Caenorhabditis elegans: one gene and its partners. The protein of the gene in region 1 interacts with the protein of each later gene in a pairwise test. Each region holds a gene or a part of one and is shown in the gene's direction. Other genes may lie near its edges.

Region 1 (7,685 bases):
TAGTACTCTCGCCGCACATTTCTGACCACAAAAAACCACGGAAAAGTGTGTCGTGGCTCGGTGAGCACAATTTCCCTCTCTTTTTTTGAGACACGTGCAATTTCGCTCTACTGAGACCCAAGACCGAATTGAGGAAAAAAGGGTTGTAGACAACAATTGCGTGTGTCTGTGTGTACACAAACTTTTTGTTTAGTTTTTTGCTTCCAGTGTCATCACTGCCGCGAAACCGGTCCGCGGCGCCAACAACGAATTAGTTAAACTCGAACCATTCGTCAATTGACTTTGAAATTTAGATTCACTCCAAAATATGTGCTTTTAAAAAAACTAAAACTTTACCCCTAGCTTTCCAAATTTGAAACTATAACTTTGAAAAATCTCTCAATTTTTGGATAACATATGAATAATAAGTAATACATATATAACAAACAATCAAACAGTGATAACTTATCAGAAGCTTTGCTAATCTTAAAATCGGCAACTAGTACAATGTTTAACGTGCCGTTATAAACATTGGAGAAATTTTTTGATACCTCTGATGCAGAGGTACAAAAGGAAACCCCTATAATTTTTCAATCATTTGACCAAATTTCACTAAAACGTTATTGGGCTTTCGTGGAATTTTTAAAAAGGGGTATTTTGGCACTTTCAAAATGTCGTAACTTGGTCGAACCTGCTCTGAAGATAAATTTTTTTGGAGTGATCATCTGTAACTATTCTCTATCGAATGTATATAGTGGCGTAATGAAGTCCGATAACGAGTTCAGAGCCTTCCCTTGTTAGGGCAAGAAACCCACAGACGCTGCCTCAACTTTGAATAATACCCACGCGGTGCCAGAGTGTCCCATATCGGTTTGATCTATGAGAATTGCAGGAATTTAGACGAAGACTTCCAAACTGATTTTGCATGGTGAAGAGCCTGCTGACGTCACATATTTCTTGGCTAAAAATTTCCGCATTTTTTTGTAGATCAAACCGATATGGGACAGCCTGATACCAACACAATATACCTAAAGCTTGCAAAGCTATCTCCAATGCTACTGAAATGCTAGTTGTAGCAACAAATAATCGTGTGCCTTATTGAGATTATTTCCTTCAGATAATTTCCTTACATTTCCTTATATGAATTTCAATAAAACGTCACTTTATTTTTTTATTATTATTGCTACATTCCCTATGCTGCCTCTCATCGACCACCGAGAGCACAAGCACCTGACCCGGGTACCAGTCACCCTAACAGCTGATCTTTCCATATGACCAACAGTGCATGACCATCAATTTTTGAAATTTTACTTTAAAAAGGTTATTGGTGCCTGATACGCCTTTCATATAAAATCGCTCTCACCATCCCTTCCCTCCAACCGTCTCTCTCTCTCTCTCTCTCTCTCTCTTCAAAAATCGATTTGATTCATTCTCATTCGCATGTCAGCTGGTAGAGAAACACAGAGACTCTCTTACAAGCCCACACATCTCGTCGTCGGTCTCTCTGTCGTCTCTTCCACCACCCACACTATCCCGGTCAGTCATTCGTTGGTGAAAAGATGTGAAAGAGAGAAAGAGAGAGAGAGAGTACGCACACAGAACGCGTTTTATTTCATATTTTTCTTCCTTTCGCCTCTTTTCTTCGTTTTATTCACTCTCTTATTCGTATTTCTATTGTGTATTTATGCAAAGTAATCGTCGAATTTGAGGGTTTTAATCCTTTTGTTAGGTTTTGAAAATATTATTTAGAGAAAGCTAAAAAAAAGCGAATAGTAAAGTTGTTTTCTTTTGCCAGATTTTGTTGTTGTTCTCTGCTTGCGACTTGATTTATAAAGTGTCTGTGTGGACAATAGAACCTTAAAATTGATACTTCCCGAAAAAATTACCACTTTCTTCATGGATTTCATCACTATTTCGTTTAAGATAACCATAATTTAACTTTTCAGTGATTTTTGTGAATGTATTACATTTTTTTTTGAATGTTTCAAATTTCCATTTTTAGAAAGTCACTTATTCAAATAGTTTGCAATCACGTTTTACTGAATCTAGTATCTATACTAGGTATTCAAGTTCATGAAAATCGGACCTTATCCCTTACTTATCTTATTGATTTTCCTAGCCCATCTCTCATCTTTTGTTCTTGATTGCATTGATTTTAGGCGATTATTTTCAAATTTTAATATAAAATTTTCAAAATTTCCTAGTAAATCTTTAATTAAAAAATTTGAGCCTCAGTTGTTTTTTTTGCACAACTTTCCCGGTAATTTACCGAAAATGAACATTTCCGACAAAACTGCAAACCGGCAAAAAATTTTCACAAACATTTTTCTGCAAATTGTGGTTTTCCACATTTTTTTCTGGAAATTTTAGAAATTTAATTTAAATTGGCAAAATTGTACGCATCCTATGAATGTTCCTACATCTATTTTGAAAAGTAAGCAAGTTCAATGAATGTATCTAAAGAAAACGGGAAAAAAAAACTTTCAAAATGACACTGTTTCAAGTGCTTCCGTCTTATTAAAAAATCCCTCTAAAAATTTCCGGCAAACGGCAAATCGGCAATTTGCCGGAAAAAAATTGCCACGTGGTGTCAAAGTGGCTCATTGCGGTTTGATCTACGTAGATCTACAAACTATGCGGGAGTTGAGACGAAGAGTTCCCAACTGATTTCAAATGGTTAACAATGTGCTGACGTCACATTTTTTGGGCGAAAAATTCCCGCATTTTTTGTAGATCAAATCGTAATGGGACCATGTGAGACCCCGTGCCACTCCTGATTCAACAAACCTATTCTAAAAACTTTACTCTCTTCGTAATTCCTCACAATTTGACCTCCAGCGACTATTTCTCACGTGACAACAACAAAACACTCACAATTCGTTATCACCAACTCACCAATTACAGAGACGACGGGAAGACGGCGGCATCCGCAGACACCGAACCACCCACCACCTCCAACATCGTCGTCCTCGTCATCTCGACTGCCTTCGCTGATGAGTAATCGGAACGGTGGTGGAGGAGGAGGAGACTATCAGGACGTGATCGAGTCTCTTCGTCGTACACAGCTCATCTTTGAGGAGGACGATAATAATAGTAGCGATTCGGCTCCGCAAGCGAATCATCTATCCAGACATCAGACTAGCAATTCTTTAGTCGAAGATATGGTTAATCACTCAAATGGTGAGACTTTTTTGAAAACTTTGAGTCTTGTTTGAAAGCCTGCTCATCCCCGAAACTTAGAAACGGCCCAAAATTAAAGAAAGGACTTAATTGTCCAACGGAATCAAGAGAGTCGGCTTTTGAATTTCTATTGAGTATTATTAATTGAGACATGATTAAAAGATCACTGTTTCAGCATTTCACTTGGTGCCAGAATGTCCTATTTCGGTTTGATCTACGTAGATCTACAAAAAATGCACGAGTTGAGACGCATAGTTCTCATTTTATTTGGCTTAAGAAAGTTTTACGCAAAAAAAGTCCGCGTTTTTTGTAGATCAAACCGTGATGGCAGGGGTTTTTTCTGACACCACGTGATTTTTCCGACACACCACTACCTTCAGCCAGCCAAACCTTTAAGCCGGAGCCCAAATCCCCTGCTTTCTCCAACCATGCGTGCTCACCAGTCATTAGTCCCCCCCCCCACATCCAAAACGACACCAATTAAAGTCACTCAACATTTCCTCTTTACTCCCACCCCCGAGAGAAAACTCGCTATTCTATCTCTGTGTTATAATCGACATATGCATCGTAAAGCGGTGTTTCGGAGCCCCTCCCTAGTTTTTATATACCTGCTGAAAACTCTCTCGGAGAGCTCGCTCGCTTCATGATGATCGCATTTTCCCCCACATGCGTTCTTGCTGCTGCGTAGTGAATGCGCTTATTATTGAGTGTATTGAAAATTGGCTCAATGAGCGAAGTAAGTGTGAAACTATATCTTGGAGCCCAGAACTAGCACCATTAAATTTTACTTTCCAGGCAACCCTCCACCGGTCCCGCCAGGCATCACACAACAGCAATGTCAAATCGGATTGACACCTCGGATGTCGGCATCGCCACCGTCTGCAGTGTCAACAATCTCTGGAACCGCAGTGCTTGGCAAAACGATGGCCAGAGTTCAGAGTAATCCCCCGGGAAGTAGTGAGTTTTTCTTGATTTTCAGAACTGTAACGCTAAAATGTAAAATTTTCCAGTACCGCACAACACAACGACGACCGCGCAAGGAATCCAAAGCGTCGCACCACATATTCCAATCGGCGGCGGTGGAGCCACCGACGACAGCAGTGCAGAGATCTTGTCGGTGTTTGAGTGCCCGGTATGCCTGGAGTACATGCTGCCACCATACATGCAGTGCTCATCCGGACATCTTGTCTGCTCGAACTGCAGACCAAAGCTTCAGTGCTGCCCGACTTGTCGGGGTCCAACTCGTGAGTTTTGAAGTTGAAATTTGAAAATTGCGTGACTAGAAGAGTTTAGTCAAAGCTGAAAAAATTACCACAGCTTGAGCAGAGCTGATATGATAGAAGACTAAGATCCTTTCTGGTTGATCGATCTGTCTCAGTCGAGCGCCTAAGCATTTTAGCTGTGTTGTTTCTCTAATGTAGCTAACGAATCAAGGATCTACGGATCTTCAAAGTTTCAGAGTATATCTCAAATTTCAAGACTAAACCTTCAATCTTACAGCTTCTGTCCGCAACCTGGGCCTCGAGAAGATCGCCAACACCGTCCGCTTTCCATGCAAATTCTCTACGTCCGGCTGCCCCCTGAACTTCCATCACGCTGATAAGACCGAGCACGAGGAGCTCTGCGAATTCCGACCCTACTGCTGCCCGTGCCCTGGAGCTAGCTGCAAGTGGCAGGGAGGCTTGTCGGATGTGATGGAGCATTTGAAGAAGATCCACAAGAGCATCACGACGCTTCAAGGCGAGGATATCGTCTTCCTGGCCACTGACATCAATCTTCCTGGAGCAGTTGACTGGGTTATGATGCAGAGCTGCTTTGACTATAATTTTATGTTGGTGCTCGAGAAGCAGGAAAAGTACGATCCAGCTCAGCCAACTCAGATGTTCTACGCAGTCGTTCAGCTGATTGGCTCGAAGAAGGAAGCTGATAACTTTGTGTACCGGCTTGAGCTATCGGCGAGCCGCCGGAGAATGTCATGGGAAGCCACACCGAGAAGCATCCACGAGGGGGTGGTAGTGGCCATTCAACAGTCGGATTGCCTAGCGTTCGATTCAAATGCTGCACAGCTTTTTGCAGGTGAGCATTGACTTTTGCTTTTATCTTAATCGGAAATTACCAATTTTTGTTAAAACTGAGCTTTCAATTTTTGTTAAAACTGAGCAAAAACAGCTTTTTTTGTGAGTTGACAATTTTTTTGGTAACTTTGTTAGACAAGGGATACAGCTGGAATAGTTGAGTGCATCATGGTGCATCGACCGAAATAGTTTTAACAGCCGATACCCCGGTTAAGTGTGTGAATGCTAACAAAAATGTAACCGCTAAACTATATAAAACACGAGAACAAATATTTTGTGAGTTGGAACTTTTTCGATAGAACCAGAAATCCAAAAAAATTAAGTTTCCTTTGAACATGGTGCATCGACCAAAAATTTCTAAGATTGATAAACTCGGTCAATTTTTGAAGATATTAACAAAGTGTCTATTAAAAAATAAAAATAAAAACCGAAATCCGCAGAGGTTTTTTTGAAAAGTTTTTAAAGTTGGGCGAGATATGGTGCATCGACCTTTAGTAGCAAAATTTTTGTCAGTTCCGGAATATAAACTTTAAAAGTTACCCTCAACAAAAATCAACTTTTTTTTTCAGAAAACGGAAACCTTGGAATCAACGTCACTATTAGCCGAATAGATACTCCACAGAGGTGAGAATTGTATTTAAAAACTTTAAATTCAAGTTTAAATGTTTGAAAATATTTAAAAATTACAAAAAAAACACATTTTTTCAATAAGCCAATTTTAATCTATTTAATTAAAAAAAAAAAAAACTAATAACTGATTTTTTTTCAGGCGCCACCCAAATGAGTTGGAAAATTCTGATCTCGAGTACGACTAGATATGCACAGTGTAAACGTAATAAAATTATTTTTGATTTTTTTCTTCAAAAATGTGATGAAAAGCTTAAAAAATTCAGTTGAAAATCCCCTTACAATCAGAACATTTTAAAAAATTTAAAAATTAAAAAAATTTTTTTTTTGGATTTTTTTTCTGAAAAAAAAACTATATTTTGTTCTAATTTTTTTTTATAATGTAGAATACCCCCCCCCCCCCCCCGCCCCCGCCTCAAAATATTAATTATCTGTATAGCATATCCTTCCATGACTCGGAATGGATAACCACAGAACACTACGGATTTTTTTTCAATTTTTTTTGGTTTATAAATTTCTTTTTTTTTGTATTTTACACTCGATTTACACATTTTACGAGCTTTCCTGTGTTGTTTTATCGATATTTTGTACTTTTTTTTTGTCTCTTGAACCACTTGCGTAATAGCCACATTTTTCTTTCCAATTTTTACGATTTTATACTTTAATCATGTTGAATAAATTTTTTTGAACTTTTTTTGATGGTTAATTGAAATTTTGGAGAAAAAACATTTTTTTTTTCAAAATTAAAGAAATTTAATTCATTCTCAGTTTTTTTTATTTGGAAAATTTGCATCATAACAATTTTTCACAATTTGAGTATTTTCAAAATTTATAACAGAGTGCAAATAAAATTTTAAATAATTTTTATAATTTTGATTTTATTTCAAAAACATTAAAATTAATTAAAATGAACAATTAAAATACCAAAAAAAATCTCTAAAATTTACAATTTGGAAATTAATTTCAAAATTCCGAAATTTTGCAAAATTTAACTGTCGAAATACAGAAATTGCGTTAAAATTTAGTCTGAAAATTTGAAGAAAAGACAAAAAAGAAACATTTCACATTTCTATCAATAGAATTTTAGAAAACTCGGAACTAAATCAGAAAAAAAAAGAATTATTTTTTAGTCAAACATTTCTTTTATTTCAGAATTTTCTGCTTTACAAAAACCAGGTTTTCATAATTCCATAAAGTTTTATTTCAAATTTCAAACCAAAAAAATGCACGAAATTTATACAACATCCCATCTCTCCCAGCGAATTCTACTCAGATTTCTCCTTATCTCCAGAGAAACCAAGTTTCGCGAGCAGGTGTCTAATCAACAGTACCGTCGAGACAATTGACAGAAAAAATATAAAAACTGCAATGATCACTAGATCCAAATTGAAATATTTCAAAAACGAGAATTCTTTTCCAGCAGACGTCCACCTGGGCATTTGCCCGAACCTTCCAGCCATCTCCACCGTATCAATGATCTTTTGCCGCGGGGAGAACCTCTCAGTGGCAAGGATCCGCGCGAGAAGTTCCGCCGATTTTTTGTATTCCGGATTCTCGAGCACTTCTTTCAATGCTCCAATGAGCTTTTTCGTGTTGCTCAAGTCCATTTTATCGTAGATCAGTGCCACGCCGTGTCTCTTCGCGATCTGTGCATTGCGCATTTGGTCACCGAAAATCGGGACTACGACGAGCGGAACAGACTTTTGAGCACTTTCCATTAAGCTTCCCATTCCACCATGTGTCCAGAACATTGAGATTCGTTTGTCGGCTGAAAATAAGGAAATAAGGAACAAAAGATTTAATGTTATTTAAATTATATTATAG
Region 2 (6,325 bases), on another chromosome or scaffold:
ACACTGCTCGCCTTCAAAATTTGATGAAAATCTTAATACTAGATTTTTTTAATTTTTCATTTAAGACTTTTCGAAAAATTCGAAAGTTCAAAAAAAAAAATCCAAAAAAAATTTCACTCAAATCAATCGCCTTCAAAATTTGATAAAAACTCGATGAAAATTTTGTGGAATTAAAATGTTTAATTTATCATTCTGAGGCACCACGTTTTCAAGATCTGGTGGGATTCCGGATCTACATTCTTCATTTCAGCGCAAAATCCCTAAATCCGGAATTCCACCGAATCTTGAAACCGTGGTGCCTCATCATTCTACCTTTAAAAACTCGAAATTATAAAAAATTCTGCAAAACTCTAAAAAAATTTGATTTTCGATTTTCGAAAATTTATCTTTTTTTGTATTTAACATTCAATAAAATATTGATGAAAAAATTTCTAGAATCATATTTTTAAATTTTGCTTTACAAAATTTTTTAAAAATCTACAATCGTTCACTTTCTTGCCTTCAAAATTTGAATGAAGAAAAAATTTCAAAAACTTTAAGAATTAAATTTAAAATGTGCTCAAAAAATTCTTTAAAAATATGCGTTTCCCTAATAATTTCCATGTTTCAGTCCCCATCGCCCTCCTACACCCCATTTCACCCGACGCCCGTTCACCGGAGCAACACCGTCCGTGCCGACAATCGCCCAATTCCCCCGCCCCGGCCGCAGGGCCTAGGAACACTGACCCCATCACGCCCCGAGATAAGAGCTCATCGAGATGATATAGAGAGCCCTACTATTCGGGTCACAAGATTTTGAAGAAAAAGTTATACTTTTATTTTAATTTCCGCTCAAAATCGGAATTTTCTATAAATATGCCCCTTTAAATTGAGCTACAGTAGTCACGTCGAAAAATTTTCAATTTTTTTGAATTTTTTGAATTTTTTCATCCAGTTATAAAAAAAAGCTTGCCCCTCAGCTCTACCCCATTTTTCTTTCATTTGTCACCTACTTCCTTCATATATGCCCGGTTAATTATGTATTTTTTGATGCTTTTTTAGTCCCGCCACGGTTTTTTTCATTTCGAAAAGTCGATCGATTATCGATTTTTTCGAAAATTTGGAAAATTTGGAGAAAATCTAAATATTATCGATTTTAAGCTAAAATTTTAAGATTTTATTTTTTCAAATAAAATTTTGGAAATGTTTTTTTGAAAAAAAAAGTGCAAAAAACACTCAAGGGAAAATTTTTAAAAAATTGGAAAAAATCTTGAAAGTTTGTCGATTTTTCAGTGTGCATTTTGGAGTTATCGGTTTTCTTTCCGAATTTTCATCAAATTTATTTTTGATCTACCAAAAAATCTCTAAAACCCCGTGGCGGGAACCTACTTCACTTTTATTCTGCATAATTAGACAAAAATGTGATTATTTTCTCATTTCAAAACTTGTTACATATTTTGTGTTGTGATACATATGTCTAAATTTTTACGGACTGAAAAAATACTTTTTTCTTAATGTTTTTGAAATTTTCATTATTGGTGGCGTCATCCATGTCTATTTGATTTTCCAGACCCCCCCCCCCCCCTCTAAAATGAAAAGAACAAGACGATTGACAGCTAGCATGTGCGACGATCAAAGTACCGATTTGATTCAGTTGAAGGGACACGAGAACGCGAAAAAGTCGGAAGCCCATCTGAAAGTGCTGGAATACATTGGCAAACGCTATGAAATTCGAATGACCGACGGGCGGTACATACGTGGCACGATGATCGCCACTGACAAGGACGCTAATATGGTTTTCAACAAGGTAAAAATTTGATGAAAATTTGGTCCAAAAGCTCATAGTTTCAAATATTTTTCCTTAAAATTATGCGCCGCAGGCAAAACAACATTCCGCCTTTTTCTATTGCTGGCTTAGTTTTCGCAATTTTCTCGGCTACCAGGCTACTGCAAAAATGATCGATCCGTGAATTGTGCAAACATCTGAGTTACACAGAGAGTGGGGCGGAGCGGAACATCGCAACACTGCCGCATGGTTTTTCCACAACTTTTTTTTTCAAGAAAGTTTCGATTGTACTTGTTTTTTCTCTTTTTTGTATAAAAATGGTATTCATTCTAAATAATTCACATATGCTAAATTGCATATAAAAACATGGAATATCCTCTCAAATTAAGAGTCTTAATCTTATTAGAATTAAATTGGATATCATTTTCATTCGAAAAGAAAGAGAAAGAAACAAGTAAAATCGAAACTTTTTTGAAAAAAATGCTTGATTTTATTTCATTTTCGTTGTTTTTTTTTCAGTATTTAACTTTTGAACGATCGATTATTTATAAGGTTTGCGGTTAAAAACGATGAATTTCGTGTTTTTCTTTTCTGGATTCAAATGACAAGTTTTAACCAATTCGAATGTCAAACACGGAAAAATAAGCGAAAATAACAAAAAATCGTGTATTGTAACCAAAAAGTTCTCCACGAGTAGTACACTAGAGCCGACGCGCCGCAGGTTTGCAAAACAACGCCCACCCCGTTTTCTGCGCGGCACTACACAATTTTCTATCTCACGAATAAATATTTCAGAAAAGGCAGGATTTTGTCTGAAAATCATGAAAAATCAAGTTTTTTTCAGGTTTCCAACGCTGAAATGGTTGGAATTAGGGTTTGTTACCAAAAATCGTATAATATTAAAATCCCAGTGCTTCTCTGTCTTTCAGCAATTTCTTTTAATTTCCAGGCAGACGAGCGATGGGACAAAGATCCACAATTGAAAGGAGTCCGATTTCTAGGGCAAGCGATGATCTCGAAAAAGCACGTGGAATCGATGCACGCGTTGCCGGACCCTAAAGAAACTGAAATTTGATCCAGTTTTCTTATTTTCTCTAATTTATCCCATCCTTTTCTTGTCAAGATTAATATAAATTAATTTTTATCGAAGCGATTTTTGTTCATCTCATCCAAATATGAAAAAACATTCGAAAAAAAATCGCAGGCTTCACTTGGAACCGCGCGCCATCAGTTGAAAATGCTGAATATGTACAAAGACTGGAAAATATTAAATTTTTATGTTTAAAATTTCACGTTTTTCGTGTTTTCCACAAAAAAGCAATGCATTGTCGTTTTTCAAAAAACACTCATGGTAAACGAAGTCCCCGTGGAGTACACGACAATGTCGCATCGAGACCCAAACTGGGAAACGCCTGCGCCTTTAATTTTAGGAGTTTAATTTTCGAATTTCGAGTTATTTTTTTCTCAAGTCTTTTTGCGACTTTTTTTTGAATATTTTATTACTTGTAGCGCTGAAATATGACAGTTATTATAGCGTCACACTGGGGACCTCAATCAAAACAGGTATTTTTCAAAATTTCGCCGTAAAATCTAATAACCAATTTTGAGATGTTGCCACCCGAGCCCCCACGGATAATTCTGAGAGAAGTTCCGGTCCAGAATAACCAGAAAGAGCATCCACCGGTTCAGGAGATCAAAACCGTGTCCAGCAAGTCGAAGGAACATCGCGTCAGTTCGAGCCGGAAAATTCCGGATCACTTCGACGTGGGCCCACGGTTCTACATGAATGTCCCCGCAGATGGCTCAGAAGTGTTCGAGGACGACGAAAAAGACGTCGAGAACGAGTGTTGGGCGGTGATCGAAAGAATAGGAAGCGAGGATGACAAGTTCGAGGCCTCTGAGCTTGTCGAGTACCGCGATCACGATTGGTACATCGCTTTGGCGATTAATAAGGAGAAAACGCCGGATAAGGCGAATTATCAAGTAGGAATTACGAAAAAAATTTTGATTTTCAATCTCATTTTTTAAATTTCAGCACCTACTCTACAGCTATCGAGGCGGAATCCAACGCATAATTCTCACGCCTCAACAGACGGATTCGATCGACAAAACGCCGCTAGTGAAGTACAAAATCATCGGAGACGGTCTGTACGAAGTGCTTCCGATTCACTCGTCCCTTCCTCAAACTGGTCTAATCAGTCCCAAATATCGTTACAACAAAGGCGTCGAGCTTCGGATTTTCGGGATAGTGAATTGGATTGATTTTGTGTTGGACGACGATCATCAGACGCACAGGACGATGGTTTGGACAGATGCGGTCGGACCGATCTATCTGAGTGCCGCGGATCGAGCCAATATTCGACGGAAGCTGCTGCTGACCGAGATGCAGATTTTCGCGCCGTTGCGAATGTGCCATATTACTGTCAAGGCGGAATTTAACTTGTTAGTTAAAAAAAACGCGTAAAAAGAATAATAGTTCCAAATTTTCAGCTCGATTCCCGATGGTTCCCCGATTCAATGGACCATATCATCGTTCCAGCCACTCATCGAAGAATCAGAGAAGGATCCGAATATTGGGCGCAATTTATGGCCAGCGAGAGTGCTCAGATTCGATGATTTAGTCGTTACAAAGAAGGTGCTTAATCATTTTAATATTAAATTTTAACAGCATTTATAATTATTTATCTATTTCCAGACACCGAACGGCTACTGGCTGAAGTCTCAAAGATTGGAGGGTCACGTTAATGTGTTCGCCGGTGCAAATCAAATCGGAATCATTGAGTCGGCGGGTGAAAAATACGCGACGAAGGGAAGCATGATGGCGTTCGTGGTTCCGTGCTATCAGAACAGCACGTTTGCATATTTCGAAGCACTTATCGCCGGACCCCCGCGAGTCGTGATGATTATTACCGAAGGACGCTTTCTGAATTATTGCCCGAAGACGTGGCCACCGTCTGTTCGGAAAATGCGTGATCAGTATCAGAAAGAGCACGTTGTAAGCACAATTTTCCAGAGAAAAAGGCTTTCGATAAATTTTCTTATTTTCAGCTGAAATCCGAAGTCCGAAGTTCACCAATCTGCATGAAACAGCCGGATTATTGCCTCAAATCACTACGAGGATTCAGCGAGTGCCCATTTTGATCACTCAAAGTTTTATATATTTCTGTATTTCTTCTGCCTTATTTTAAAAAGTATTTTCCCGTTTTTTTTCTTTTGTTCAATTTTCCCTTTTTCTTTACTTGTTATGTCCTATGTTTCATGCTAAATTAACGTATATTTTTAATTAGCAATTAAAAAACTTTCTGATTAACTGCCAGTTTTTGAGAAGAACCAGAAGATGGAACGCAGGCGAGTTTCTGAAACGGAAAGGGTTTGAAATTTTTATCAATCAAACAAACTCGCAATTTTATCAAAAACCATGCCGTCGTTGCAAGTTTGAAAAAACCACATATATTTGCAACATTGATAGAATATCATTGGATCGTATGGATCCGCCATGGCCAGACCATCATATTGACATGTACCGTTTAATGGGTTCGGTACCGCTGAAAAGTTGTTGGTCTCGCAGCGAAGTACTACAGTAATCGGGAAAAAGCGCTGTTTATTATCGATTTTTCAATTAAAAATCAATAAACTCGCCGCGAGATCCAAACCTCAACTTACGATAGCTTTTTGTAGGAGTCGATTGTCCATCGACAAGGAAGCCAGCAACTAGGAAAATTTTGATAGGGAGAAGCATTGAAATTTAATTGTTTTTGGGGGTTTCGTTTGGTTTTTATAGGAATTTTTGAGCTGTAAGAAAACAAAGCAACATTTATTTCAATTAAAACCGGAAAATATGAGTCATTATGGGGGGTTTTCAACCGTACGGAATTTGACAAATTTGAAACTACCATAAAATGGTTAGTTTTGTAGTTAGAGAACTCAAAATTGATTTTCTAAGACAAAAAAATTGCCCTTTTTCAGAATATAGTAGGTTTGTATAATTTCCAAAAAATTATTTTTCTTGCCCAAAAAAAAAAGGACAGTCATTAGATGGCTGAAAAAAAAGTGGGCAAAAATAAAAAGTGTCTAATTTTGTTGAAAACGGGTAATTAATATATGCAGAATTCAGAAAATCTAGGTTTAACCCATCAAAAACCATTAAAAAGTGGCAAAATTTGGCAATTTTTGCAAAAACTCACAATTTTGAAACTCCTCTAAATTGGTTCAATTTGTAGCTAGAGAACTTAAAATTGGTCTCCAAGCCCTAAAAAATTGTCCTTTTTCAAAATATAATAGTTTTAAACGTTTTTAGAAAATTTATTTTTCTTGCCCAAAAAAAAGGACAGTCATTAGATGGCTGAAAAAAATTGGGCAAAAATAAAAACTTGTCTAATTTTGTTGAAAACGGGTAATTCATATATGCAGAATTCAGAAAATCTAGGTTTAACCCATCAAAAACCATTAAAAATCTAAAATGATTAATTTTCTAGTTAAAGGATTCAAAATTGATCTTCGAACACTAAAAAGTTGTCAAGTATCCAAAAAAAGTGGTTCAATTTAAAAAAAATTGGTCAG
Region 3 (8,866 bases), on another chromosome or scaffold:
GCCGCCGAGAGCACAAATGCCGATGCAAGTTCAAGGAGAAAGTAGTAACCAGCTTCTGACTGTAAATTATTTTATTTTTTGAAGCAAAATAGTGAGTTATTTTTTTGGATTAAAAATCTTGTTTTTAAATCGAAAATCAATACAATTAAAAAAAATCAAACCTTTGAAACCTCCTTTTTCTCAGCTGACATTTTGGTAGCAAACTCAGTGAAATCTATGTGGAATACTGCAGGGATATGTTCGTTTCGTTTCACAGAGAAGAGGCGCATCGAACAATTTGGGGCATCTTGATGAGATTTTATCGAATTCTCGGAGGTGTGTAGTAGGTTTTATGGATTTCAGAGTGGATTTCAGAGTGAAGTCATTGAACTTTCTGGGAAACATCTGGGAAACAATATCCGACAAAAGCTCAAAAACGCATAGAAGATTTAGTTTTAATTTGATTGATCCCAATTAGTTCACTTTATGTATTTTTTCACACAGAAAAATACAATTTTCGCTCATTTTTTTGTGAAAAAAATACAAATTTCTATTCAATAATCATATTGTTCAATATATGTTCTATATATGTTCTATAATTTTTCCTTTCGCCAGCTCACTTTCCAGAGAAGCTCTCGATCCGCCCTCGATCCGCCCCTAAACCTGCCCAGCGGAGTAGCATATGAGACTTATGCCGTTTGATGAACCATGTTTAGAAACGGTTATCCGTAAACTTTTAGCTGCAAGTCTCCATAATCAAGCTCACGACATGCTCTTAAAGACATCTAAAACAACACTGTAACGTAGCACTTAGGGATCAATATTCACTTCGGAAACTCATGTCTCCGCGGATTTTGATGGAAAAGTTATCAACTTTACACGTTTGGAGTTGAAAGTTTTTTATCAAAAAAATCTTTGTTTGAGATTAAAGCATGTGAAGTGCGGTAAATGTTATTGTTAAATATGTTAATGCTGTTGATGCAATTTTTATGCTTATATCTGGAAAATTTTGAAAATTGACCCATTACAAAGGAAGTAGATGAAATTAATCTCAGACTTTGACATGACATGGTATTTTTCCGATCAAATAGTATTATCCATACCAAAATCAGAGATTGAGTTCGTCTACTTCCCTTGTTAGTGTTTGCAGTTACATTGTTGTTTTCGCTTTCTTTGAGCGTACGCCGTGAACTTGGTTCTGAAGATTCGCCGCTAAAAATTTTCAAATCACCGTTTCTAAACATGGTCTATCGACTGACATAAGTCTCTTATGCTATTCCTCTGAGCACCTTCACATGTTCCCCTCGTCAGTGGTGTACAAACGCGCTCCACTGCTAATGCATTTGATTCTCAGCGCGCGCAACCAAATTTGTTTTTCGCGCGCTCTCCTCCTAATTTAGGCCTTTTTTCTTGGCAGTGTATCGATTTTGTTCGTTCGTTGAGCGTTGCGCGTTCATTGTCATTATAGAATCGTATATAAAGCGAATAGAATCAGTCTATTCGCTTGGAATTTTTAACATAGCCTTCCAAAATTTGCTGCACCATCGTTTCATTGATTTTATCCGTGTTTCTTGAGTCATTCGTGCGTGATGTAAGAAACTGGACTCTAAATGGACTAAGCATTTTTATACTGATTGTGACCGTCTAAATAGCTTTTTTTATTCGACTTGTTTCCAATTCGGAAAGAAACTCCATTTTCTGTTCGATTTTTTAATTTTCTCTCTTGTCTCTTACATCTCAACTTTATTTTAATGCCTCTACCTTCAGACTACATCCTCAATCATGCCGTCTATGGCCGAAATCTACGTCAAAGAGCTCAGAGAGAGGGATCCAGCTACTGTCGATACTCTATTCCTCGACAACGCTGAAGATGGACAAATCGGAGGACTCACCGACCAGCTTATCAACTTGGAGATGCTCAGCATGGTGAAGTGCGGACTCACCACACTCGCCGGGTTCCCAACTCTTCCAGCTCTTACCTATTTGGATATCAGTGACAATCAGCTTGGAGACAACGCTTCGTTTGATGTTCTTGTGAAAAATGCTCCAGATCTTAAGAAGATCACACTCGCCAGCAACAAGCTCTCTTTGGATAATCTCCGGTGCTTAAAGGTTCTTCCAAATCTTTTCGAGCTCGACTTGTCGAATAATCCAAGTCTCGGACTCCTCGAGGACTATCGTGAGAAGATGTTCGAGATGATTCCATCGCTGAAGATTCTTGATGGATGCGATGTTGATGGAGAGGAAGTTGAGGAGGAGTTTGCCGGTGAGGGAGGAGAAGACAGCGAGGAGGGAAGCGGCGATGAAGATGGACCCGGACTCAGCTATCTCGAGAAGAGCCAGTTCTCCGACGACGAGACTGACGATTATGCTCCAGAGGTTAGTTTTCGGACTCATATTTCAGAAACGTATGTTCTTAATTTCAATTTTTCAGGGAGGAGACGCTGAACCACGTGGGACAAAACGTGGAGCTTCTGATAACGGAGAAGAGCCAGACAACAAGAAGGCAGCTGGCGACGACGAGTAAACTTCGACGCCTACGGACTCATCATCTCAACCTAATATATTTATTTCAAATATTTTTTCCAAAAAAACTTCCCTCATTTTCTTTATGGCTGCGCTGTACACTAAACCCCAACTTTAATGATCTGAAAAACTGAACCCAAACCACCAGACACTGCAACAACTTTTTGATGAATAAAAAATCTTTAACATTAATCTATCGTTTTATTTTCTTTTGTGGCTTTTGTGTGCATTCTATACCATATTATATTACTGAAACACTGAATTCTGAGAATGCGTATTGCGCAACATATGTATATCTTGCAGCGAAAACTACAGTAATTCTTTAAATAACTACTGTAGCGCTGATCAGATTTTACGTTGTTTATTTTCTAATTTTTTGATGAAAACTATAAAAAAGGCATCGAATTGACAAAAAACACGAAAAATTAGAGGAAAATTAAACATCGCCTGCCACAATCCTAAAAACAATTTGTTTCGAAAGTATCAGCTACAGTAGTCATTTAAAGAATTATTGTAGTTTTCACTACGAGATATTTTACGCGTCATATATGTTGCGCAATACGCTATTAATACGGATTCTCAGAATTTATTGTTCCCGTAATAGTTCTGCCTGTGTGTAGCGCAAACTTCAAAAGTCAATAAACTCGAAATTTGAAAAATTGCCAAAAACGAGACTCCGAAATAACGGGCGCGCGTGTTGTTTAGCGCTTTCAGTCCACATTACTTTTCCCCCACATTTCTCCCAATTTGTTAGGTTTTGCTCATATTTTCCCACATTCGAAGTATTGAGAGTTTATTTTTCCATAAAAGAACCGATTTTCTTCCTAAATCCAGCTGTGCGGTCATTTTTCACGTAGGCATATTTTTTCTCACAATTTTAAGGATTTCTGCGTTCTTTATCAAATGAAAGGTCCCATTTCTTCCAATTTTTAGGTTTTCTGGTTCTCTGCGTTCCATCTTTGAATGAATCTTCGATTGTATTTTTATATGTAGGTTTTCTACTTTCATGTCTAGACATGTCTCCCAATAACGTTGATTTTCTTTTAGTTTTTAGGTTTTCTGCGTTTATTTTCATTAAGAATCAAATTTCCTCTTTCAGAAATGTCGAGAAAACGAAAAATGTCACAGTCGAAAAAGCCAAGCTTACCACGCCGTCCAATTATTCAAAATCTCACATTCATGGGAACTGAATTGGGATGCCCATTGTTAGTTCAGGACATGGATTCCAGTAAGACTAACAAAATTAAAAGAAATAAATAAATATATGTGTATTTCAGTGAACAAACGTGGTGAAGAGCCTCCGGAGAACGCTGACGTGAAGCGATTCATATCGTTCGCCACAATTCCAGCGTGTTGTCTGCATTCAAAAGGAACCGGCCAAGACGCTCAGTCAGTAAATTTACATATTATTATTGCAATTAAATCAATTCTTTTTAAATTTCAGGTCCGCAGACGAGTCGGCAGGTTACGCAATGCTCGACTTTTTCAAACTTTACATCTCTAATGGATTCAGAAGTAAACTTCTCAATTGTGCAAGTGATGAAGAAGTAAAAGAGTTGATTCCTCAAGTTCAACCACTTTTTGAACAATTCAAAGCTGCAATTGCAGCTGATTTTCTGTCGATCAGCAGAGTTTGAACGTCATTTCGAAATTTTGATTTAAAAAAGTTTTTCAGTGCACTCAATTCGAGTTGACTCCAGCAGCGAGGGCACGCGGAAAAGAGCTTAAAAAGCGTGTTCTGACAAATTTAAAAAACGCGGGAGTTGGATACACAACGGTTACTCCTAAGAAAACTTTAAAAAATGATGATGATGACGTGGAAGAAGACGTGCCGAATGAAACAGTGGACCCCAGTGATGCTCCAGGATCATCATCCAGTGATGATATTGTTATCGTTAGAGAAGTTGCGAGCGAAGCATCGCCCAAACTTCGCAAGATGCGAGAAATGGACGGAGCGAAGAAGAAGCTCATCGAAGAAGCTACAATGCGCCTGGGGTACTTTAATTCTGCGATTTTTGTCAAAAATTGTAATGCGAACCCGCGACGCAGATTAAATTGCTGAAAATTCATGTATTCCCGATTTTTTCGCTGGTTGTTCTGAAATTACGGGAAAATGCGTAATTCTAGTAAAAATAGACTCAAAATATTGAGTATAGTTACTAGGATTTTTGACATGTTAGCAAACCGATATATATCTAGCTAAACTTAACATTTAATTTTAAAATCCGTTGGAAATTAATTTTTTTAAAATAAAATAAAATACATGTAATGGGGTTATTCAAGTAATATAGCAAAATGTATGTAAATACATTTGTGACGTCACAAATGTATTTAAATACATGTTTTTATATACTTGAATACAGTCGTGACGTAATTTTTCTAATTTTCCGACACTACTTGAATAACCCCATAAGGTACAAAAATTGCTGCTAATCGTCTTTCAATGAAATGCTATTTTTTTAGTGAAAACCGCCGATCTCCATCTCTCGACTCTGACACCTACTTTGGAGAATGTCAACAGCTGCTTCACGGTCCAACAGAAGTCTACTGTGCCCGTCCCGAATCGAACCAGTTTGTCCAGCAGTACGAAGAAGCGAATTCAACTGAAGCATCTGAGGATGAAGACAAGGAAGCTGTACCGATGAAGCGTGCTCGAGTGGATATAGAAGAAGACGACGACGACGTCATTGTTCTGAATATGACCACCTCTTCTGGAGTTTCGGATAAAAAAGGTAAGTCAGAAGTCCAATCGCAGGCTTCTTAATGAAAAATTCAAGACGTTTCAGGTTCTGAGGACGAAATAGGTGATATAGTTGACGAGTGGGATGCAAATGACGAGGAGGAGAAGACTGACGAACTGGAAGAGCTTGAAGATGACGATATTCAGATAATTGAGGCAGGGGATCAAGGAAACGGTGTAGAAGAGGTCTCAAGCACAGTGATTTCGGTGGAGACTCCCAACAGTTCTTCAGATGAGAATAAGATCTACAATGGTACAGTTTGAGAGAAATGTATTCCTCACCTTACAGTTTTTGGTACTTGTGTATTACATGTCCTCGTTTTTAAAGTATTTTTAAATTATAAAAAATAAAAACGTGTACCATAGTTTTGTATCTGTAGGCTTAGGAAAGAACCATTTCTTAGCCTAAAGAGGAAAAGTGCATACAAAATTAAATTTAAATGGAGAAATTAATGAACATTTCATCTAATTTAAAAAGGATGACATGTAATACACAGGTACCCAGTTTTTGTTGAAATTCGAGGTGGTTACTGCAAGGAGCCAGAAAACACGTTAGATACAAAATCGGCCTGAGAGAAAATTATCAACTTTTCAGGCGTTTAAGGCGAAAAATCATACATTTTTAACACCAACACAAAAAAGATTGCTCCGAAATCAAAAATTGTAGGATCCTCCTCGAGGAGTACACGAATTGCGTATATCGACACTCGCCCAACTGTTCCATTTTCAAATATATAATACAAAATTATTTCCAGGCCACCAAACGCATCAAATTTTCCGAGAAGTTCGCCAGTTGCCAGTCAATTATCAGGCACGAACCATCGGTGTAGTGCTCAACGAGCGGATCGCTGGCTCCGTCGAGAAGTTTGTGAACTCGATCACCAAAAAGTCGTTCAATTCTGTCAAACAATTGTCTAAATTGGCATGGGATCACTACCTGGGAAATGCACAACCGGATTTTGTGTTTCTCAAGAAAATGGAGGCTCGTCAAAAGCTATTCTCGGAGATCAAGAAGCTGTTCCCTGACACAGAGATCAAGCTCCAGACAACTGGCTCAACAGTGAACGGATGTGGATCTTTCAACTCTGACATGGATCTTTGTCTATGCTTTCCGACAAATGGATATAAAGGACAAGTATGCGACGATTTTCACTGCGACAGAAATTATTCGACGAAAATTCTTCGCAAAATTGATAAGGCGTTTCGAAGATCGCATTGGAGCCATCCTCTGAAGAAGATAATCAAGACAATGCAGCTGGTGCCGGCGAAAGTTCCAATTGTGAAAATGATTTTGAATGGAGAATTTGATGGAATTGAGGTTGATATTAATGTTAATAATATCGCAGGAATATACAATTCACATCTCATTCATTACTATTCATTGTTAGTTTTTTTCTCAACAAAAAATCAGATATTTCAAAATTTCGGCTGAATTTAGATAAAATCTTCAATTTTGTAACCGAAAAAATTAAAATGTGTGCCAAGTTTGAAACGCAATTATGAAATTTGCAAGATTTGTTTCTATTTTCAGAACGGATGCCCGGCTCCCAGCTCTGGCCCTACTCGTGAAGCACTGGGCGATGGTTACTGGAATCAATAACGCACAGGACGGATTTCTGAATAGTTACACGACGATTCTTCTCGTTGTGCACTATCTTCAATGCGGTGTCACTCCAGCAGTCATTCCGAACTTGCAATACTTGTTCCCGCACAAGTTTGATCGAAAACTTCCGCTTAATGAGCTTCTTCTGTTTGGCGATATTGCGGACAAGTTGCCCAGTAATTTGAAGTGCTCTTTTTATTATCTGTCTTACTAAATTTAACCATTTTCAGCAAGTCCTCCCAACACGTGGTCGCTTGGAGAGTTGCTCATCGGATTCTTTCAGTACTATAATGAATTCGATTTCACTAATTTCGGATTTTCAATCCGCTCGGGTCAAGTCATTCCTCGGGAAAATCTCCCCCGTGATCTCATCAACAGTCCGATTGTCGTTGAGGAGCCGTTTGATGCGATCAACACAGCCAGGTGAATATTGGAAAAAATGACCGTGTGTCGAGGATAAGATTATTCAGTTTTTGGCTAAAAATTGATTTTGAATCAATTATTTTTTGTGTTCACGCTCAACTCAACATCTAAAATAGTATAGATGGTTGATTATAATTCATAATACCAAAAAAGAAAACATCAATTTCCTGTCTCACTTCAAACACGGTTTGACTGTTAATCACTGAAATATAAGCTAAAAACTAAATTTTCAGAACTGTACGCGATGTTAGCCACATGAAATCTATCAAATCCGCCTTCCGCTGTGCCGTCCAAATAATCTCTTCAAATAAAAATTTTACAATGCGTGATCTCGGTGTAAACGTCACAGAATTTGACTAAAAAGTTAATTTGTTCTTTTTTTTTATTCGCTTCTTTTTTCTTATAGTGTTCGTATAGTGTTAATCAATACATACTTTGTAATATTATTTAATTGGAAACGCACAAAAAAGTCGATAAATTAAAAAGAAACTCGAATTACTCTTTAATTCAGGTGTCTGAAGTCAGGAGAATCACAGATCGATATTTAAAAAGAGAAGTCATTTGAGCTTAGACGACGGCCTCGCGTTCAACAGAGAATGGAGTGTCGACGGCGATGTGTCCAGAAGCGGCGATGATGACGTCTTGCTTCGGGCGGTCCCCAGGAAGCTTCTCGGTCTGTTCGATCTTGCGGACCACATCCATTCCTTCGAGGATCTTTCCGAAAACGACGTGGCGTCCATCGAGCCATGGGGTCTTGACTGTGGTGATGAAGAATTGGGATCCATTGGTATCAGCTCCAGCGTTGGCCATCGACAACCATCCGGCTCCGTAGTGCTTCAGCTTGAAGTTCTCGTCGGCGAACTTCTCTCCGTAGATAGAGCGTCCTCCGGTTCCATCTCCACGGGTGAAATCTCCTCCTTGAATCATGAAGTCTGCGATGACTCGGTGGAACTTGCTTCCTGGATATCCTTCTCCCTGAAAATTAAAAAAAATATTTTGAAACTCGATTTCTTGAGCTGCAAACCTTTGGCTTCTTGGCGAGCTCAATGAAGTTGGTGGCGGTCTTTGGGACGGTTTTTCCGAAAAGTCCGATGACGATACGTCCGATTGGTTTTCCTCCAATTTCCATGTCAAAGTAGACCTTGTCAGTGACCTTTGGTCCTTTGGCATCGTCTCCCTGAGCAAGAGCTCCGACAGCGAGCACGGCCGCCACAACAAGAAGCGACTTCATACCTGCAAAAATTATGGTGTTATATTGCGAGCAAAAAAGTTTAAAAAAAAGCAATAGTAAGAAAATGTAAATAGTAAGAAAAGCAATAGTAAGAAAAAAGCGAAATATCGAATTGTTTGATAACAATAATTAAATACCACATTCGAAAAGACATGGTGATAAGAGTACATTAGACATTTTATGTTTAAAAATGAAAAAGTAAAGCCTTAAAAATGAAGAAATAAATACAAAACAGTTACCAGCAGGAACAATTGAGATGAGTTTTCTGAGAATGACCCGTGCTGAGAGGGAAGACGAAGAAAAAGAACACGTCAGCACACATAAACCACACGGTGCAACGTGGATAGAGCGATAGAGAGGGCAA
Region 4 (9,389 bases), on another chromosome or scaffold:
AAATTTCGAGTTTCACGAAGATCTAGGCCAACTTTCAACAAAATTAATAAGATAGAAAACTCGGCCATTTTTTTCCACGGCCACGTATACCATTTATTCTCAAAAAATTTGAAACCCCTGTCAAAGAAAATGCGCTCTATTGAGAAGTCCACAAATTTATGTTTCGTGGCGAGAAGAGAAAACTAGGCCACCAAAAATGTTAATATATTTAGTAATTTGGGAACTAACGGGCTAAAGTAAATTTTAAAAAAATCAGTGAAGCTTGGCCACCGATATTTTATTCAGAAAAAAAATTAAAATTTTTATTTACAAAGTGCGGCCTATTGAGAAATTCTCTAAAAAATCTGGGAAAAAATATTCAAATTTCCAGCTTATCACACTCTAACTAGGATGAATTGCTGGCCGAGTTTTTGCGTTTTCTAGGCCACGTGGCAAAAATAGAACATTATTGCACTGCACAATATTTTACTATAACCAAAAAACAAGAGAAAAAATTGTTTTAACTTTTTTTGGGAGAAGTGTACAAAGTTTAGTTTTTGTCACTTGTTCTCCTTTTCTTCCGCCGCCCATAAACATCTAATGGGGTTATTCAAGTAGTGTCGGAAAATTAAAAAGTGTAGAAAAATTACGTCACAACTGTATTTAAATACATTTTGCTACATTACTTTAATAACCCCATAAGTTTTTGCAAGTTATAGAGACAAAAAGACTGGAGGAAAACATAAAAAATAATGATTAAAGGGACAACCGGCCAGGAAAGAAAAAACATATGAAGATGGGCAATAAAATGTGTGGTGATAAGCGTTGAATAGGCTCTCCAAATAAACTAAAAACTAGGCGTTAGGGTGCTTATTTATTAGTTTGGATTTTTAAGGGGGATGCTCTTTTTGCAAGTTTGCAGGTCTTTCAAAAAATCGCAAAAACCTCACTGTTTTTAATATATTTTGTAGTATTTTGTTGTTTCTACTAATTTTCATATCGAAATTTCTAATAATCCAACTGAATACATATTTTAATACATATTTTAAAATGTTTTTTTAGGAAAAAAATAGTTGAAAACAATGGGTAAAATTTTCAAAAAGTACGAAAAATTCTTTGAAAACGGGCTAAAATTTTGCCGTCCAATTCCTAACGAGACCCAGCGTTTAGGGGTGGTGCAACCTTATTACGGGAGCATAATATTCTGAGAATGCGTATTGGGCAACATATTTGACGAGCAAAATAAATTATAACTATATCTCGTAGCGAAAACTACAGTAATTCTTTAAATGACTACTGTAGTGTCGATTTACGGGGTCAATTTTTGAAATTAATTGCATAAATCATTTGTTCATCTATAGAATATTAAAGTTAAGCAAAAAAAAAGAAAAAAGTTATACGACGAAACGAAGAAATTCATTTTAAAAATCAAGCCCGTAAATCGAGCTACAGTAGTCATCTAAAGAATTACTGTAGTTTTCGCTACGAGATATTTTGCGCGTCAAATATGTTGTGCAATACGCATTATTAGAATTTTGTGTTCTAATGTAATATATTCAGATCGAAAGAGACAAATTTATTTCAAATTCTGCAAGTACTCTTTTAAAAATTCGAAAATCATCACTGTAAAAATGTGTGGAGCGAAGTTTTTTATTTTTTGATGGGAATTACACACACACAAACCGCCACCGGCAAACATAAGTCAATCGGATTAAACAGATTTAAATTGTAAATGGTAGAATTTCAAACGAAAAAATTGCCGGAAACCTAAAAAAAAAATTCCAGAACATGGGGGGAAACTTTGGTCTCATAATCAGCAAGAAAAGTGATAAGGGATCACTTTCTTTAATGGGACGCCGCCGCCGGCCAGTGGAAAAGGTTAAAAATGCAATGTGACAAAAAAATGATGCTGATTTTTCATTTTTATGGTATGTTTATTACAGACTTTGTAACTCTGAAAAAGGGCGTTACATATAGATATTTTGATTTCTTTCTTTGCTGGAAAATAAAATTAAAAGTAAGGTCTCGGCGCGCGAATTGTATTTTTTTCTTTTGCCTTTCAATGTGGAATAGTTTTTGCTTCAAAAAATTCAAAAAAAAACGTCTGAAATTCAAAAAGAATCATTAAAAAAACGATAAAATCGATAAAATCCTTCCAAAAAAGAACTACCAATCAGCGATTCGTTACGCCCAAATCTCAACCAATCAGACGGAATGGGCGGAGTTAAAGAATGCTGATTGGGTGGAAAGTAGGCGGAGTGAATCGCTGATTGGTCTTGCAGTTCTCATTTTATCTGGAGGGAATTCTCAAATGAGAACTGCGACCAATCAGCGACTTCGAACTCCGTACACTCCATCGTTGATTGGTCGCATTTCTCCGTGTTTTTTAATTGAATTTTTCTTGTTTTTTTGTGGATTTTTTAAGCCAAAATGGATAAAAAATAAAAAGAAAAAAGAAAAACCCAAAAAAAAAGTATTTTTTTTAATTGATAAAAATATATAAAAGCTGATTTTTTCAAAAATTCAAAAGTCCTGGAAAATCATATGGAGTCATTCTTTTTTATTTCCCACTCCATCGTTGATTGGTCGCATTTCTCCGTGTTTTTTAATTGAATTTTTCTTGTTTTTTGTTGTGGATTTTTTAAGCCAAAATGGATAAAAAATAAAAAGAAAAAAGAAAAAACCCGTGGCATCATAAATTTCGCATTGTCACGTGGCATTGTTTATTTTCCGTTCGGACAAAAAATAATGAAAAAAATATTATTTCCAATTCGATCCCGATGAAAAGTTGCAGAAGTTGTAAGGAAAATCCTGAAGTGCAGAGAAAACGAGCCGAGAAGCCGTGGCGACGGGCTCCGAAGGCCAAATCAGAAGTCGAAAAGCATGGAATCGGTCCACCGGACAGTGATTCAGGGGAGGAAATATCATTTCCTTGGTATAATGTGACCGGTAAGTGAGTCATCTCGACTTTTTCGGAAATAAGCTGAGAGGCTTATATTTCTTTTTGTCGCATTTCATGAACTTTCAGCCAGTTTCAGTTATTACTCAGATGTCAAACTTTTTCGTTTTTTTGAACTCGAAAATACGATCCCGACGCGACAATTTTTGTAATATGCAAAAAGGCGTGCGCCTTTGAAGAGTACTGTAACTTCCTAACTTCCACCACGATTTTCATCGATTATTCATGGATTGTCTCCCGTTTCCGCAATTTTTAAATGTGTTTTATTTTGTTTAAAAAAAATAGCGTCTTGTGCAACATATTTGACGCACAAAATATCTCTTAAGTTAGCGAAAACTACAGTAATTCTAATTCTTTTTTTTCCATTTTCATTCGTTTCTTCGCATAATTTTCTCATTTTTATTTTTATTTTAATATTTTAGCGATAGTAAAGTAAAATTTTAATCCATCCGAGCCCGTAAATCGACTACAGTAGTCATTTATAAAGTTACTGTAGCTTTCGTTACAAGATATTTTGCGCGTCAAATATGTTGTGTGAGACGCATTATCATAATTCTGTGTTGTAGTAATAGTTTTAGTAATAGTTTTTCGTCAAAAAATGTTCTTGAAAAGTAAATGAAAACTGAAAATTCCGCTTTGCAGTTAGAGTTACTATTTAAAGGCGCATACACAATTTTGCATTCAACCAAAATTTTTCGTGTCGAGACCTGGTATCGTACGTTTCCCAAGTGTTTATGTGCAAAGGTTACCCATCATAATCCTTTTTTGCTCCGTCTTTTTGCACCACACCCAAAAAAAGCAAGAAAGAGCTCATAACCATAGAGCAATGTCTCTCTGTCTGTCTTTCTTTGTGAGCTTTTCATGTGTATGTGTCCTATTTAGAAGCACTGCATTTTCTTTCCCTCCTCCACGTCTTCCGGCTCTCTCGGTCCCCCCCCCCCCCCCCCCAACTATTCCCGATTGCGAAACACGAGCTCTTCGGGAACCGAGCCCCCACTTCCAATTCTTCGTGTCCCTCATTTTATTGCCGCATTCCGGCGAGTCTTCTTTAGTTTCAGTCGTTTGAACATTTGTTCTCGAGAAATTCGATAATTTTTATTAGGGAAAAGTAGGTTTCAAATCGAAAACTCGGCTTAAATCGTTGAATTTGAAGGAAAAATTTAATAAATAGTGTCTAAAATTATAGAAAATTATGCAAAGCTTTGACAAAGCTTTGCAAAGGCGAGAAATCAAAAATTGAATTTTTCTAGACTTGTCTAATTGCCTCTGATATGTTTTGACCTACAATTGACCTACGATCTCAGGCGGGCGCGCACGAATTCATATTTTTGTTTCGCGAAGTTTCTCTCATTTTGTTTTTCCTTCGCTATCATTTTAGGTGGTTTTCGGGTTGACTCAGCCGGTTTTTGGCCAGTTTTTTTTGTTTTAAGTTAATTTTTCTTATTTTGTCACAATTTCTTTTTGATTAATGGCAAATAATTATTATAATCTGAACATTTTGCTTTGAAACTCGAAAAAATCTAGAAAAAGAATAATTGTATCGTAGTCGTTTTCTGATTTTTACATGGAATTCAAGTCAATATTCATGTTTTTTAATGAAAAAACATGAATTTTCTCCAAGAAACGATTATTCATTTAAAGGAACATACGTGCCTGCTGAGCTCGTGTCTCGTAGCGAAATTTGTATCGTAGTCGTTTCCGCATTTTTTAGTTTTTAGACCTTTTCAAGAAATTTTCTCTGTTTTTCGCTTCAGAAAAGATCCATTTTCGCGAACATTTCTACCATTTTTTTTACAAAATTATCCTGTTACATCGATTTTGATCGATATCATCAAAATACACTAGTTTTCTCCTCCAAAACCGTCTGTTTTACATTTCTGGAGCCCACGTTTCTGACCGTTTCGCTCCGTAATCCGTTGGAAGAAGCACTCCTTTGTGTGTCCAGACCCACCCGTCCATGCTGTGTCCATCGAGCGGTCGCCTGTCTGCGTTTCTTCACTCCCCTCGCCTATTTCATCCGTTTTCCTCCCTCTACTCCCCCTTCGAACGCAATTTTCGCGCCAATTTCCCAGCAGCAGCAGCGGCAGTACTCGCCATTTCATAACATCTCCCCCGCCACTGACTAATGTTTTCCGATAGTTTATCATTTTCTTTCATGGGATATGAACAATTGTTTCCTTTATTCTTACGCTCTAATTAACTCGAATCCAATTAATTTGTTATTATTTTCAGGTAAAATGCTTGTCGTCGGGATGCATGTGGAAATCAAGCGGAGCGACGGCCGCATCCACGGTGCCGTAATCGCCGAAGTTAAGTCGAACGGCCGGTTTATGGTGGAATGGTATGAGAAGGTGAGTCGCATCCTTCGAGAAGACCATCACTCGTCACAGAATCATGCATTTCGGATGTGATGCCGAACCAAAAATCATGCATTTGGCATTGTGTACTTTCTTTCTTCTCTTTTTTCTCTTGCAATCTTTCACATTTTCAGGGCGAGACAAAAGGAAAGGAATCCTCGTTGGAAGAACTTCTCACGCTGAACCCATCACTCCAAGCACCGAAGCCTACGCCGCCGCCACAGCCTCCTCAAAAAACGCTTCAAGCGTCAACTGCTGTCAACAGACAAAACGGGATCCATGCGCAGAGCATGATACTCGATGACGAGGATACATTCCTCTTGGATCATATCAACATGATTCCGGCTAAAGGTTTGTTGGAGAGTTCTGGTTTAATATGAAACAAAAATTGATTTTCAGGTGCTTCTGCCAACAAACGACCAACGGGAGCTTTCACGCAGCACGTTCCTGTTCGTATGGCTCCTCCATCCGAAAAGCCTCTCCCGACTCGTCGTGCTCCGTCACCGAAGGAGGATGCTGCTCCTGCACCGAAGTCTACTCGTACGACAGCAGCCTTCAAGCCAGATCTTGATAGTACGGCGATCACGGTTCCGAAGCACACTGCAAGGCGCACAGTTGTGGTAGCTCCAGCTCCGGCCCCTGTTCCTGCTCCACCAATCGCCAACATGACATCACAGCGAGCCCCGTCTCCAGTGGCAAGAGTTCCGTCGCCGAAGAACGTACCGCGGTCGTATCCACAACAGGATGTTCAGCCGTCGAATGGGAACTTTGCTTTCGCGGAGATGATTCGCAACTACAGAGCCCAGATCGACTATCGTCCGTTGAGCATGTTCGACGGTGTCAACGAGAATCGGATTTCCGTTTGCGTTCGGAAGCGCCCACTGAACAAGAAGGAGCTGACGAAAGCGGAGGTCGATGTGATCACGATCCCTTCTCGTGACATCACAATTCTCCATCAACCACAAACACGTGTCGACTTGACAAAGTATCTGGACAATCAGAAGTTCCGATTCGATTACTCTTTCGACGAGTACGCCAACAACGAGCTGGTCTATCGGTTGGTTTTTTTAATTTTTCAGTTTTCGTTTTTAAAAATGATATTTTCAGCTTCACTGCAGCACCACTCGTGAAAACCGTCTTCGACAATGGAACTGCGACGTGCTTTGCCTACGGTCAAACAGGATCCGGAAAGACGCACACAATGGGTGGAGATTTCTCCGGAAAGAAGCAGAATGCGTCGATGGGAATCTACGCGTTGACGGCACGAGATGTGTTCCGGATGCTCGAGCAGCCACAGTACCGTCGCAAGGATCTCTCGGTGCACTGTGCGTTCTTCGAGATTTACGGAACGAAGACGTACGACTTGCTCAACGATAAGGCCGAGCTTCGTGTGCTTGAGGATAAGATGCAGAAGGTGCAGGTTGTTGGGCTCAAAGAGGAGCAAGCGCACAATGAGCAGGATGTCTTGGAGCTCATCAACAAAGGAACTCTGGTCAGAACCGCTGGAACCACTTCGGCAAACGCGAACTCGTCGCGTTCTCACGCCATATTCCAGATCATTCTTAGACAGTTAGTTTTTGTTTTTACGTGAAGATTGCTTTAAAATTAATTATTTTCAGAGGCAAAAAGGTGTGGGGCAAGTTCTCGTTGATCGACTTGGCTGGAAACGAGCGAGGACAAGACACGAGAGAATGCGATCGTGACACGCGGAAAGAGGGCGCCAACATCAACACATCGCTGCTCGCACTGAAGGAGTGCATCCGTGGAATGGCTCGCAACAGCTCACATGTCCCGTTCAGACAGTCGAAGCTCACGATGGTTCTCCGAGACAGCTTCATCGGTGAGAAGTCCAGGACAGTGATGATCTCGATGATTTCGCCAGGGATCTCGTCGAGTGATCACACGCTCAACACACTTCGCTACGCGGATCGGTAGGAATTTTATTTATTTTTTGCTAAAAAAAATTCACATTTTTCAGTGTCAAAGAAATGGGAACCGACGGAAGCGGCGAAGCAACCCCAATTCGAGACGAGGAATTGTTCCTGCCCCCATCGGCAGACAAATCGGATGAAGAGTACGATGAGATGGTCGAGAAGCAAGAACATCGTCGAGTAGCGGTCGATCACGTCCGGAACCTGAAAGATATGTCTGAAAAGATCATACGCGAAACGACGATTGTCCTCTCCAACGAGCCGAGTGCTGCCCAGAAAGCCGAATGCCTCGCCAAGCTTGATCAACTTGCGCAGATAGTCTCGAACACCCGTGTCGCCGTGGAAAACGTCTGATTGCTGATTCCCGCGACGATATGCTACCCACTTCATGTACCATGATTATTACTCCCCGCCCCCCTCATTATTCACCATTTTCTATTTATTTTTATCGCATTCCTCCAATATTTTACCGTATTTATTTCATTTAGGGTATGTGAAAATTATTTGACCCTCCCCTTCCATCTTTTTCCCCTCTCGTTGTGAATATTTTACGGGTCCCCATTTTTTCTCGGTTCCGTTTTAAATGAACCATTTTATTCGTTTAATCAGTGTTCAATTTGAAGGTGGCTGTTCCGGAATTCATGCACAATTAAGTCGTTCTCTTGAGGCCCCACGAAAAGGGGAGCAGAACGAAAAGGGGATCTGCAAAAAGGAGATCTGCGAAAAGGGGAGATACGAAAAGGGGAGATACGAAAAAGGGGAGATACGAAAAGGAGATCTGGCACTGTGCCAAACGCTATTTTTCTCGAAGAAAACAATACAACGATGCTCCGATGTTACGCGTCGCGTGTTGTTAAGCGTATCTTCTAGAAGAAAATTTCAAAAATCAACGTGCGTTGCGTGAGAAAAATTGCGTTTTGTGCGTTTGGCACAGTGCCAGCTCCCCTTTTCGTATCTCCCCTTTTCATATCTCCCCTTTTCGCAGATCCCCTTTTTGCAGATCCCCTTTTTGCAGATCCCCTTTTCGTTCTGCTCCCCGTTTCGTGGGGCCTCGTTCTCTTCAAAAAATCGTTGTGATACCCAGCATGCTCCTTTAAACTTGCGTGGGATCCTGGTTTGTTCTGAGTTGATGTTAGGCTGTAATTGCTCGTTCTATAATAACGAGACGTGGTAGTCGGTCTCGACACGACACATTTTAATTAAATGCAAACGTGTGCGCGCCTTTAAAGATTACTGTAATTCAAAATGTTCGTTACTGTAGAATTGTCATCGATTTTTCATGTGTTTTTCACAATTTGTTAAAAATTCTGTGTTTTTAATAGTTTTATTTAACTTTTTTCAATAAATAAATATATTTTTGTCGAAAAACGATGAAAAATCAATGAAAATCCCGCACCAACAAAATTTTGGAACTACAGTACTCTACTCTTTAAAGGCGCACACCGTATCGCATTTAACAAAAACATTCTAATTGTATTTTATATTTTTCATAAAAAGAAAAGCTATAATAGTTTTGAAACTTTTTTATTTCCATCGATGGCGCACACGACACTGGAGGACAAACCAAAAATTACAATTAATATCGATTTTTAATGAGAAATGGGAGAGACAACGTACACGAATTTAGCAGAAGTTTTCTTTTTTTTTAATAGAAGAAACCTAAAGGAAATGTAATAATATTTCTAACAAATTTGTCTGATCACCGTCAACAAGAGGATATAGAAGAAAAAACAAAGAATGATGAGTTGAGCAAAGAAAAAAGATCCTAAAGATCTCTAAAAGAGATCCTTTCGATTTCGGGTCTCGAAACGAAAACGATCGCACTACAAAAGAAAAAAAATTGGAAAACTTAGAAAATATGAAAGAGTCTGAAAAATGAGATGGGCGGCGGCTGGGCTCACTCTGATTGAGGGAGCACTGTCATTTTTAGTCGCGTTTATCCTTGATTGGAGCTTCAACTGAAAATCACCAAAATTATTTCTTTTTCCAGGGAAATTTAGTTTCAAATCCTGCATTGCCATGGACGAGATCGACAGTCGACAAAATTGCACACCATTCGGTAAAGAAAAGAGGCACTCCCTGAACAGACACATTGGTTAGGTTAGAGAAAAAACAGAAGGAAGTAAGGTTTTTTAAAGGATCACTTTTATTTGTGAGCTCCTA

What was found.
Region 2: the proteins of siah-1 (region 1) and pid-2 interact in a two-hybrid assay, tested with the Caenorhabditis elegans proteins (one large-scale study listed by BioGRID).
Region 3: the proteins of siah-1 (region 1) and gldr-2 interact in a two-hybrid assay, tested with the Caenorhabditis elegans proteins (one large-scale study listed by BioGRID).
Region 4: the proteins of siah-1 (region 1) and klp-7 interact in a two-hybrid assay, tested with the Caenorhabditis elegans proteins (one large-scale study listed by BioGRID).

Annotation. Positions count from the first base shown.
Region 1 is NC_003282.8:3,741,165-3,748,849, forward strand, and holds siah-1 (E3 ubiquitin-protein ligase siah-1), read left to right. Parts: upstream 1-2,883; 5' UTR 2,884-2,972; coding exon 2,973-3,159; intron 3,160-3,954; coding exon 3,955-4,116; intron 4,117-4,169; coding exon 4,170-4,403; intron 4,404-4,659; coding exon 4,660-5,235; intron 5,236-5,803; coding exon 5,804-5,858; intron 5,859-6,003; coding exon 6,004-6,049; 3' UTR 6,050-6,187; downstream 6,188-7,685. Other genes in the region: ugt-45 (glucuronosyltransferase), read right to left, coding at 7,127-7,629.
Region 2 is NC_003279.8:89,809-96,133, forward strand, and holds pid-2 (Protein pid-2), read left to right. Parts: upstream 1-3,213; 5' UTR 3,214-3,283; coding exon 3,284-3,328; intron 3,329-3,373; coding exon 3,374-3,748; intron 3,749-3,800; coding exon 3,801-4,207; intron 4,208-4,255; coding exon 4,256-4,400; intron 4,401-4,460; coding exon 4,461-4,760; intron 4,761-4,813; coding exon 4,814-4,906; 3' UTR 4,907-5,055; downstream 5,056-6,325. Other genes in the region: mtm-10 (Myotubularin phosphatase domain-containing protein), read left to right, coding at 611-799; natc-3 (Sm domain-containing protein), read left to right, coding at 1,601-1,786, 2,715-2,840; Y48G1C.13 (Chitin-binding type-2 domain-containing protein), read right to left, coding at 5,056-5,121, 5,168-5,310, 5,429-5,504. UniProt on the Caenorhabditis elegans protein: Involved in gene silencing mediated by a class of 21 nucleotide PIWI-interacting RNAs (piRNAs) that possess a uracil residue at the 5'-end (also called 21U-RNAs) and that guide the Piwi protein prg-1 to its DNA targets for silencing.
Region 3 is NC_003279.8:15,032,771-15,041,636, forward strand, and holds gldr-2 (PAP-associated domain-containing protein), read left to right. Parts: upstream 1-3,238; 5' UTR 3,239-3,494; intron 3,495-3,598; exon of another isoform or gene 3,599-3,604; 5' UTR 3,605-3,606; coding exon 3,607-3,733; intron 3,734-3,782; coding exon 3,783-3,894; intron 3,895-3,949; coding exon 3,950-4,136; intron 4,137-4,180; coding exon 4,181-4,500; intron 4,501-4,968; coding exon 4,969-5,237; intron 5,238-5,282; coding exon 5,283-5,498; intron 5,499-6,000; coding exon 6,001-6,628; intron 6,629-6,776; coding exon 6,777-7,024; intron 7,025-7,078; coding exon 7,079-7,271; intron 7,272-7,504; coding exon 7,505-7,631; 3' UTR 7,632-7,717; downstream 7,718-8,866. Other genes in the region: F33H2.8 (TPT domain-containing protein), read right to left, coding at 1-59, 162-269; F33H2.3 (Acidic leucine-rich nuclear phosphoprotein 32-related protein 1), read left to right, coding at 1,762-2,358, 2,414-2,506; cyn-5 (Peptidyl-prolyl cis-trans isomerase 5), read right to left, coding at 7,839-8,246, 8,296-8,502.
Region 4 is NC_003281.10:10,803,171-10,812,559, forward strand, and holds klp-7 (Kinesin-like protein), read left to right. Parts: upstream 1-2,754; 5' UTR 2,755-2,759; coding exon 2,760-2,928; intron 2,929-4,311; exon of another isoform or gene 4,312-4,332; intron 4,333-4,867; exon of another isoform or gene 4,868-5,012; intron 5,013-5,170; coding exon 5,171-5,289; intron 5,290-5,429; coding exon 5,430-5,646; intron 5,647-5,694; coding exon 5,695-6,352; intron 6,353-6,402; coding exon 6,403-6,864; intron 6,865-6,914; coding exon 6,915-7,226; intron 7,227-7,273; coding exon 7,274-7,580; 3' UTR 7,581-7,829; downstream 7,830-9,389.